Linked DNA regions of Arabidopsis thaliana. The protein of the gene in region 1 interacts with the protein of each later gene in a pairwise test. Each region holds a gene or a part of one and is shown on either strand. Other genes may lie near its edges. The genes, in order: NPSN13 and GB2.

Region 1 (5,771 bases):
ATGTAGGAGTTCCCACAGAAGCAGCAAATTCTCTGTACTTTCAAAAGATGATTGAATTGATTGGTATGTACGGAGAGGGTTTCGTTGTGCCCTCGAGTCAGCTGTTTTCTGGTAGGCTCTTACAGGAAGAGATGTCAACTATCAAAAGCTACTTGAGGGAGTACAGATCTTCTTGGGTGGTTACAGGTTGTTCCATAATGGCAGATACTTGGACCAACACAGAGGGCAAGAAAATGATCAGTTTCTTGGTCTCGTGCCCTCGTGGTGTCTACTTCCACTCCTCGATTGATGCCACTGATATAGTAGAAGATGCTTTAAGCCTTTTCAAGTGTCTAGACAAACTAGTTGACGACATTGGCGAGGAAAATGTGGTGCAGGTTATTACACAGAACACTGCTATCTTTAGAAGTGCTGGAAAATTACTTGAAGAGAAGAGAAAGAATTTGTATTGGACTCCTTGTGCAATACATTGCACAGAACTGGTTCTTGAAGACTTCTCAAAGCTAGAATTTGTCTCCGAGTGCTTAGAGAAAGCCCAAAGAATCACAAGATTCATTTACAATCAAACATGGCTGCTTAATCTTATGAAGAACGAATTCACACAGGGACTAGATCTTCTTAGACCAGCAGTCATGCGCCACGCTTCCGGGTTCACCACTCTTCAAAGTCTTATGGACCACAAGGCCAGTCTCAGAGGTCTGTTTCAATCTGACGGCTGGATTTTGTCACAGACCGCCGCCAAGTCTGAAGAGGGAAGAGAAGTGGAGAAGATGGTGTTGAGTGCTGTGTTTTGGAAGAAGGTTCAGTATGTTTTGAAATCGGTTGATCCGGTGATGCAGGTGATTCACATGATCAATGATGGTGGCGATAGACTATCTATGCCATATGCTTACGGTTACATGTGCTGTGCGAAAATGGCGATCAAGTCTATTCATAGCGATGATGCAAGGAAATACGGACCGTTTTGGCGGGTGATAGAATACCGTTGGAACCCATTGTTTCATCATCCTCTCTATGTGGCTGCATATTTCTTCAACCCGGCATACAAATATCGTCCTGATTTTATGGCGGTAGGTATGATTATCATTCATTTGAATCAATGACTAAAAGCTTTCTGCCATTTTCCTTACATTTGCTGTAAATGTGAATGAATCTGCAGCAGTCTGAGGTTGTGCGTGGAGTTAACGAATGCATTGTTAGGCTTGAGCCTGATAACACGCGTAGAATCACAGCATTGATGCAGGTGAGACAAAAAACAAATCACCAAGTCACACACATTGTTCTCAGAACCTGAGGTTAAACCAACTTTTTGTTGAAATGTTTTCAGATTCCGGATTATACTTGTGCGAAAGCTGATTTTGGAACGGATATAGCCATTGGCACAAGAACAGAGCTTGATCCATCGGCGTGGTGGCAACAGCATGGGATAAGCTGTTTGGAACTCCAGCGAGTGGCGGTTCGGATACTGAGCCACACTTGCTCGTCTGTTGGGTGTGAGCCTAAGTGGAGCGTGTACGACCAAGTTAACAGTCAATGCCAGAGCCAATTTGGGAAAAAATCAACGAAAGATCTAACATACGTTCATTACAACTTACGGCTCAGAGAAAAACAGCTGAAGCAACGGCTACATTATGAGGATGAACCACCACCAACTCTTAACCACGCTTTGCTGGATCGGTTGCTCCCTGACTGGCTCGTAACATCCGAGAAGGAGGAGGTACTTAACTTACTTAAAGTGAGAAACGCTAAACGCCATTCCAGTGATTTTATAAAAGGCTAATAAATGTAGTTTATTGGTGAAGGAGGAGGCTTTGCACGGGGAAGACAGAGCAGAGAAGGAAGACCATGAAGACGATGAGGAAGAGGAGGAGAAGTTTTACATGGAATCTGGTAACGTTGACGGTGAAGGTGAAGACAACCTTGATCCTTACGATGATGATCTTAGTGACGATGATTAGTTAGTGCTACAATTCTAACGAAGTAACACTGTATTTTGAATTCTAGCATTGTATCCTTAAAATATTCGAAAAATATGAAAATTTTGTTGGCTAGAAGAATATAATCAAAGTATTATTAGGTGAAATTAGTGAAAGTGAAATAATTTATCTAACAACGGATATGGATGGGACCAAAAAGTTGGCGCCTCGCTGTCATTTTTTTAACTACCGAATATCTGTCTTTTTAATTTATTTATTAATCAATTTTGTTTTTAAAAAATATATATGTTTGAATAAAAAAGAAAAAAACAACACACACCTGACAGCTCTCTTTCCCTTTTCCCGTTCTTTGTCGTCCTTTGTTTCGTCTTTCATTCATTCTCCTTTGTGTTTTCTCTTTTTGGAGATTTTAACTTCAGTTTTTGTCTAATTAGGGTTTTAATTTAAATTGGAGGGAAATTTTAGATGCAGTGACGTAGTTTTTGGGTAAATTTTCGTCGGATTCTGAATTGTCTCCGGCGACATGGCTTCTAATCTCCCCATGAGCCCTCAATTGGAGCAGATCCATGGCGAAATCCGTGACCATTTCCGAGCCCTCGCGTATGTTTTACATGTTATCCTCTTGTTCAATTTTCTAACTATCTCTGTCGTGGTTACGAAACACTGTGATATATATTTTAGGGTTTTGGAATTTTTTGATTATGTGTGCTCAATAGGATTTATGCGTGTTTTGCTTAATGCTGATGATAAGAATTAGATTTAGTCATCACTCAAAAGATTGTTCTTTTAATGATTCACCATTATCTGTTTTGCAGGAATGGTTTCCAGAGGTTGGATAAGATTAAGGATTCAACTAGACAAAGCAAACAACTTGAAGAACTTACTGACAAGATGAGAGAGTGTAAAAGGTATACTTATTTCATAATTGCTATGCTTTACCATTATGTTCTCGGCGTTACAACATTGTTTGCTAATTGCCTTTAGTAGAATGTGCTCTTTGATCACTGTTATGCGTACTTCTTTTTCTTTGAGCTGGATACGATGCCGTATAATGAGAATTGAGAAGGAAAGAGTATTGATGTGACAAATCCATGATTCAATAATCTGTATTTGCTTGTCTAATGTGTACTTCATGTCAGATTGGTCAAAGAGTTCGACCGTGAACTCAAGGATGAGGAAGCTAGAAATTCTCCTGAAGTAAATAAGCAATTGAACGATGAGAAACAATCTATGGTGAGTTTTTATCCTTTGTTTATTAAATTCATTGAGGCCTTTCTTTGATTATACTACAATGTCATATGTATCTGAAGTAAATATGTGAATATTAACTCTTACTTGGCACCTTCGTAAAGTTCCATTATACAGCATCAGTCGTATTCAGTTTGGTCAATCTTTAGGTGTGTTTATAACCGAATGGATATATTAAGGTGGATATTGAGTGTCATTGTGTATCTATCACTCCCCTCTGTACTTTGTATCTGCTAACATTTTGTTTGTATGAACTTTTTAACATCTGTGTTTAACTTTTTCTTTTGTATAATGTTACAGATCAAGGAGCTCAATTCTTACGTTGCTCTAAGAAAAACGTTAGTATTTCTATCATTCCTCTTTAAGAAAGCTGATTATTTGAATCTCAACCTGTTCTTTTAGGGTTTTGATTTCATATCGATCCGTTCAGAATATCTATATAGGATTTCATTTGACTTTTATGTGTTCATACATGTGAAATTGGTCTTGAATCTCAGGTATATGAGTACCCTTGGCAACAAGAAAGTTGAGCTTTTTGATATGGGAGCTGGAGTTAGTGGCGAACCTACAGCTGAGGAAAATGTTCAAGTGGCTTCATGTGAGTCCTTATGCATTCTTGTCTTCAGTTGCCACCAAAATATGAGTTTGCTTAGAACAATTAGAGATTGACATGCTTGAAGTTTAGACTTTTTAATGCTATATGTACTTGAATATGTTGGATTGGTAACTAATGCTCTCTGGTTATTCGTCTGGCATAATTTGTGATGTCTGTCAGTAAATTTCTGGCAGATGGTAATATGGCACTAGAAATGTTATCGGTGGCCTAGATAATAGAAATGAATGATTCTGATAATTTGATTAGGCGCGAAGTATATTATATTGGGAATGTAAAAACTGATGAAGGCTTTTGTCATTTTATTATGTATAGCTATGTCAAACCAGGAGCTTGTTGATGCTGGAATGAAAAGAATGGATGAGACTGATCAGGCCATTGAGCGCTCAAAACAGGTAAGTTACAGAAGGAATTATGTTCCCCTTAGCCTTTGTTACTATATGAATATATCTATGGTAACATTCTTGTTCCTTTCAGGTTGTAGAACAAACACTCGAAGTTGGAACTCAAACTGCAGCTAATTTAAAGGGACAGGTAATGCAAATTATTCTCCTTTACTTCCATATTAATCTTATGAGTAGAGTCTTAAACAACCTGAAAATTTTGCAGACGGATCAAATGGGACGCGTAGTTAACCACTTGGACACTATTCAATTCTCAATCAAGAAGGCCTCCCAGCTGGTGAAAGAGATAGGGAGACAGGTGTGTAACCTCATATGGACATATGTAGATTTATCCTTTTTGGCTTGACCTCAAAACCTGAATGCTTATGTCTACTTATTTCAGGTGGCTACCGATAAATGCATAATGGGGTTCCTGTTTCTCATTGTATGCGGTGTAGTAGCCATAATCATAGTGAAGGTACTGTCTTTTCTCTCTCTGTTGAAAGTTGTGATTGCTCATTAGCAAGTTGTAACTCTGGTTTTTGTATTAATTCTTCAGATCGTGAATCCGAATAACAAAGACATTAGGGACATCCCAGGATTAGCTCCTCCAGCGCAATCGAGGAAGCTATTGTACTTGAGGAATCAAGACTACATGTGAGAATATAAATCTCTATTTGTATATTTATTCACGAGGAATGAGGAAATTGCATCTTGAGGTTCGATATTTCCTTCTAATTTGTTAACAATCCATTTCATGGATGTTAGAGAGAGGGTTTGTGCTTGTTGGCATTGTGTGCTTTGATAGTTGACGAGGCTTGGGGATGTTTATCTTCATGTTCTTTTACTTGTTTTAACCCATTCGTTTGAATCTGGGTTTGATTGGAGGGTGTGTATATTTTCAGCTTTTGTCTCTATTTCTTTTTCCTTCTTCTTTTTTGTAGCAACTTATCACTTCTTTTGTATAAAATTCAGACCAATGTTATACTCTCTCACGTTTTCATTAGATTCCTTTCTTCGTCCTACTGTAGAAAGTTTCATGACACAGCTGGAATTTCATTAGAAGAGTCCAAATGGTTATCACTTTCTGTAACTTGCTAATACGAAGAACGTGATGAAGAGTACTACTACATTTCTGACGTTAAGTATTTATGAAACTACTGACTGTATTCTCCTTTAATTCGTTTTGTTTCACCTTTCTATTACTGGAGAATCAATTACTACTCTTCCAATCAGAATTTACCTTGAAGACATTAATATTTTGTACCAATCAATCGAGTTCAAATATAAGAGATGCTGCTCAGAAGCCGGAACATAATTGAATCCAGGGTCGGCTGATGATGGAAAAAATTAAGACCACAAATATATAAATTTAACGTCAATTCACTACAAACGAATTTGAGACTTTTTAGTTTTCCAGCTAATCATTGGTAATAATCTCCGCTATTCTATCTCATAACAAATTTGGAATTTTTCACCTGACACACGAGGACACGGGTCTAGATGGTGCTGCAACTTCTTTGTTTGGTTTCAAAGATTTTTTTCTTCTAAGTAACAAAATAACGAATTGGGAAGCAAAATGTCTATTAT
Region 2 (4,966 bases), on another chromosome or scaffold:
GAACACTAGTCCGTTATCTCCAACATTCTCATACTCATCCGGTAGAAGCCTAGAGTCCATCTTGGCAACTAACCAAGTAATCTCATCTCGAACACGAACCAACTCTGTAGCAAGATCATCCAAAGCACACAAATCCATGGGAACAATAAACTTATAAACTTTCCCAGGGTACTTCAGCCTAAAGCAATCTTCAAACTCAACTCTATCAGACCCTAAATTCTTAGGCAAACCCTGCACCATTATAGTAAACACAGCAGTAGAATTCGCGTTCGGGTCACTGATATTCCCATTCCCATCTCTAAACCTAGTAAACTTCAACCTAGCTTCAATAGCAGCGATTCCAAAATGCGAGATAACAACAACAATAACAACAAACACAAAATGCAGCCAAAGCAAAGCTGAACCTTTCTGAATATGCGTAATCATCGTTTTCGAAAGCTCATCACTCAACAAAGCAGTCCCAGCATATAAATTCAACGGAAGCATAACCGAAACAGCTAAAACAGCAATGGAGAAAAGAAGCACAAAGCTTCCACCTTCAATTAAAAGAAACTGAGCAGCATCAGCACCACAGTGACGAGCGATCTCGCGACACGTGGCTTTCCAAACGGCGAGGAGCTTAGAGAAGAGAGCAGAAGGACCAGGCATACGACGGTGGTCGCTGCGTAGCTTAACGAAGAGAAAGATGGAGACGCAGCATAAGAGACCAATGACCGAGATATTAAGCAGATACTGAATGTTGCCGTACCAAGCATCTGGGATTTCAGGTAAGTCGCCGGAAGATGGAGGAGGAGAGAATGAATTATCTATTGTCATTGATGAAATCGGTGGCATCGCAGCTGGTGAAAAATTGCGATTCATCGCGAATTTCTCAACCAAATTGAGAAACCCAAATCTTCGAAGTTTCTTCAGAGATTCAGGATTTATACAACAAGGTTTTGATCAGGAGAAATTTGGGGGCTTTAGGGTTAGACTTTGGGGGAAGTAGATCGACGAAGATGATGGCAAAAGTAGAAAGGTAAATAGAAAAGGAGGAACAAGGAATGCTATCGCGGTTTCGAATCTCTCAAAAGATTCTTCTCCTTAAATCATGAAATTTAATCCCATCTTTTTAAGATAAATACACCCAAAAAAAACGAATTAACACAACTAAAAAATATAAATAATTTGATAGAAGTATATCAAATTGGTAATTTACAGAGTTTTTATGAATAAAACGATAGTTCTTTAAACGATAATTACATATTCTCTAAATATTTCGTGATTAGTAGAATAAGAGAATATAATCAAATTCATAACTCTTGTATATTCATTTTAATCAAATTCTCCTTAAAGCATGAAATTAATCAAATAATTTGAAGGTAAAATACCCAAAAAAATACGAAATAACATAACTAAGATCGGTTTGAGTTTGGGATGAAATAACATCCCCTGTTCTCTAATGGATGGAACTCTGTTTCGAATTTGCTTCTCGAATTTGCCATTGTAGACTATAAGCATTTGTAAGGAACTCATCTCTAATGTAGGATTTGAGTTCTTCTTATCTTCCCACTAGAACATTCATCTTAAACACAGTTATGTAATTTCCATAAGAGATATGAAACAGAGCATACTACCGTGATAATCCGGACACAATTGATATTAGTAGCCTTGTATCAAGGTACGTGTGTATTCCCCATCATATAATAAAAGAAGCTTTTGCTAATGCAAATTTCTGGTAAGTTCACAGTTTTGATGTGCAAGTTCTTTTGTATCATCAATTTAGCGATTATGGACTGCGCCATGCTTCAGATGAATAGAAAAAAGAAACTTATGCTGGTCTCGAAATCCACTAACCAAGCCATTCAACATCAAAGAAAAAAGCCCACATTATAAAAAAATAAAAAAGCCCACTTTAAACTATCAAATGCCCAACAATGGATGATGCACTAGTCGAGTCAGAGTGGACGGAGCCAAAGGCAGAGATGGATTTTAAGCTTTAATTTGTTTCCCAGATATTTTTCATCTGGTCCCTCTGTTTTTAAATAATTAACTAAAACGACTATAATAATTAATAAATTATACTATAGAGTATTTTGTGTGGATTTTTATTTACTGTTGAAACTTAAGGATACAAAAGAAAAACAATTATTCAGATAATTCGTCATTAGATCCCTTTAATTTTAGTAATTAAGTAAAAAGATTATAAAAGATGAGAAGGAGAAGATAGCTTCTTCATCGAGAAACCTCGAAATCAAAAAGCACGTCGGTGACTTGTACTCTTCAATCTCTTCTTCCTCTCTTTCACATCTCCTTCTCTCGAACCCATCGACCTGCGCTAATTCATCATCGACCTTGCTCAAATTCATCAACCATGTCTTACGATTATCTCTTCAAGTACATAATCATCGGAGACACAGGTGAGAGACCGATCTTTCACCTTTCTTAATTCCCAATTGTTTTATTTTTCTGGGTTAAATCCATTTCGTGCCGATTTTCATGTGTTTTCGTTGTTGTTTTTTTTGTCGTTTCAGGTGTGGGAAAATCGTGTCTGCTTCTGCAATTTACTGATAAGAGGTTCCAACCAGTCCACGATCTCACCATTGGTGTTGAGTTCGGTGCTCGGATGGTCACCGTCGATGGACGCCCCATCAAACTCCAAATTTGGGACACCGTACGCTTCCTCTCTCTTCTCTTGGTCGTAATTAGGTCATCAGGGAACTAATCACGTTTTATCGATTAGGATTGTTTTTTTTTTCTCCCTAAGGCAGGATGTGATTAAGAAGATTAATTGTCATAATCAATTCAATTTCTTCGTTTTTATATAAACAATGCCTCATTAGAATTGCCAATACCAAAAATTATGTTTGAAAATCATGTCCAGAGACTCAAAGTGGGGTAAAATTTCAAAAAAGTTAATCATTGCACGGTTCTTGATTAAGTTTCATAGGCTTATTGTAATAGAAGCTGAGTTCACCAGTGCATTCCTTGTTGTGATTTCTTCTGGTCAATAGTTCTTCCATTAGATGATGTATGTGTTGGAGTTGTGCTTTCTGATTAAAGTTTCGTATGATATTTTTTAGGCTGGACAAGAATCTTTTAGATCCATCACCAGATCATACTACAGAGGAGCAGCCGGAGCTTTACTGGTTTATGACATCACCAGGTTAGTTTTTGCCTTGCGACAATATATATCAGCTCGAACTTCTGAATTCCCCAGCAAGGTTTTGGAAGTGATTGGTTCTGTATTTGTGATTTGATAAACCTAGACTGTTGGAAAGGTTTTGGAAATTGGGAAGTTACTTTTATCTGAACAAAATCCTTGGCTATAATATTGGCAATGCTTGTTTGGGAGGATGTTAAGTTAACCATCCATCTTAAATTCTTGCTAAAATAGATATTTTTCCTCCATTGTTTTGGAATTTTGAAAGTTATGAAGGACATGAAGAATTGCAAGAGTTTTATCATTGAGGTTTTTCATGCTTTGATCTTTCTGAAGCTCAAAATTCTTGGTTCTTTGGGTTGCAGGAGAGAGACGTTTAACCATCTGGCAAGCTGGTTGGAGGATGCTCGGCAACATGCAAATCCTAACATGAGTATTATGCTGATTGGGAACAAATGTGATCTTGCTCACAAGAGAGCTGTTAGCAAAGAGGAAGGTCAACAGTTTGCCAAAGAACATGGCCTGCTATTCTTAGAAGCATCTGCAAGAACTGCTCAAAACGTTGAGGAGGTGACATTTCTTCCTTGCAACTCTTTTTCCCCATCCTGTTATTTGGCTGTAATCACATGGAGACTTTTGTCTTCTTTTTCTGGATTCCAACAGGCCTTCATAGAGACTGCTGCCAAGATCCTCCAGAACATTCAGGATGGTGTCTTTGATGTATCCAACGAGGTAATTTCCTTGTTGAATCTGGCAATATACTTAGTCTTCTGGTGTTCTCTAATCCCTCGATTGTGTTACAATGTGATTCAATTCCCTTGGTCTCTCTAAATTTTGCAGTCATCAGGTATCAAGATTGGTTACGGGCGTACTCAAGGTGCAGCTGGAGGAAGAGATGGTACGATCTCTCAGGGAGGTGGCTGTTGTGGTTAAAAAATCCTCGAGAGAGGTGTCACATATCTGCTGTAATCTGGTGATTCAGAAACTACTATTGCTTCTATTTACCTCTGCAAATGGATACACCAGAATGTATAGTTTCTCTTTCTTTCTTTCTTTTTTTCTCTTTTTCCCAGATTGTCTTTTATCAAAAAACCAAACGGGTGCATTTAAGAGTGAACAGGCTGATCTTTATAAACCAAACAGGCGTTGGCTTATTTAAAACGTTGTCGCTTTGTATGAAGCTCTCAAGGTTAAGTAATTGAAATCAAATCAGAATAATATCCAGTCATCATCTAGGTGAAATTTCCTTATTCATCTAAACGAACTGGTTTTAAAATACCCAGATGGTTCACAGAGATCCCAATAAGCAAATAGAAGTAGAAAACGAAGAAGCCATGATACCATCTTTCTTCCTCTTGGTCCCTTTGCTTTAACGCCTATTAGGTAATGTCCCTTCCCTAAGCCGCAAGTTATTGTATGTTCGCGTCACTAACATCAGTCTCGGATCATCCTCTGGTATTTCGCGTTCCTATGATTACCACACCACAAAAACCATCAATAACTAATACCAAGAGAAAGAAAGTTTGTGGTCAAATAAGAAAAAGGTTTTTTATTACTTTCAAGCCCTTGTAGTAAGCTTCAACAGCAGCTAGTGTTGGTAGAATATTCCGAGCTAGCATCAGATCCCATATCATATTTGCAACTGTGTACCCTCCCGTCTGCCATAAAGAAAATGTTTTTTTTTTTTTAACTTTCACTAAGCCAACTCTTTATATCAGTAAGATATTTCCAAAGTTTTTAGGGGAAGTTCAAGATTTTTACCTTTTCACCAGCGGCTTTGAGTAACAGATTGCTTCCAGTTCTTGGGTCTAAGAAGAAATTGCG

The links.
Region 2: the proteins of NPSN13 (region 1) and GB2 interact in a protein complementation assay, tested with the Arabidopsis thaliana proteins (one large-scale study listed by BioGRID).

What each region holds. Positions count from the first base shown.
Region 1 is NC_003074.8:5,968,980-5,974,750, reverse strand, and holds NPSN13 (Putative plant snare 13), read left to right. Parts: upstream 1-2,178; 5' UTR 2,179-2,460; coding exon 2,461-2,537; intron 2,538-2,752; coding exon 2,753-2,845; intron 2,846-3,076; coding exon 3,077-3,170; intron 3,171-3,485; coding exon 3,486-3,523; intron 3,524-3,682; coding exon 3,683-3,783; intron 3,784-4,113; coding exon 4,114-4,193; intron 4,194-4,275; coding exon 4,276-4,332; intron 4,333-4,407; coding exon 4,408-4,500; coding exon of another isoform or gene 4,501-4,504; intron 4,505-4,584; coding exon 4,585-4,659; intron 4,660-4,740; coding exon 4,741-4,842; 3' UTR 4,843-5,186; downstream 5,187-5,771. Other genes in the region: AT3G17450 (hAT dimerization domain-containing protein), read left to right, coding at 1-1,070, 1,160-1,243, 1,328-1,717, 1,803-1,958. UniProt on the Arabidopsis thaliana protein: Vesicle trafficking protein that functions in the secretory pathway.
Region 2 is NC_003075.7:16,986,227-16,991,192, reverse strand, and holds GB2 (GTP-binding 2), read left to right. Parts: upstream 1-2,145; 5' UTR 2,146-2,353; coding exon 2,354-2,399; exon of another isoform or gene 2,400-2,513; coding exon 2,514-2,653; intron 2,654-3,062; coding exon 3,063-3,145; intron 3,146-3,507; coding exon 3,508-3,712; intron 3,713-3,805; coding exon 3,806-3,874; intron 3,875-3,982; coding exon 3,983-4,075; 3' UTR 4,076-4,353; downstream 4,354-4,966. Other genes in the region: AT4G35870 (early-responsive to dehydration stress protein (ERD4)), read right to left, coding at 1-861; AT4G35850 (Pentatricopeptide repeat (PPR) superfamily protein), read right to left, coding at 4,512-4,610, 4,699-4,800, 4,904-4,966. UniProt on the Arabidopsis thaliana protein: Intracellular vesicle trafficking and protein transport.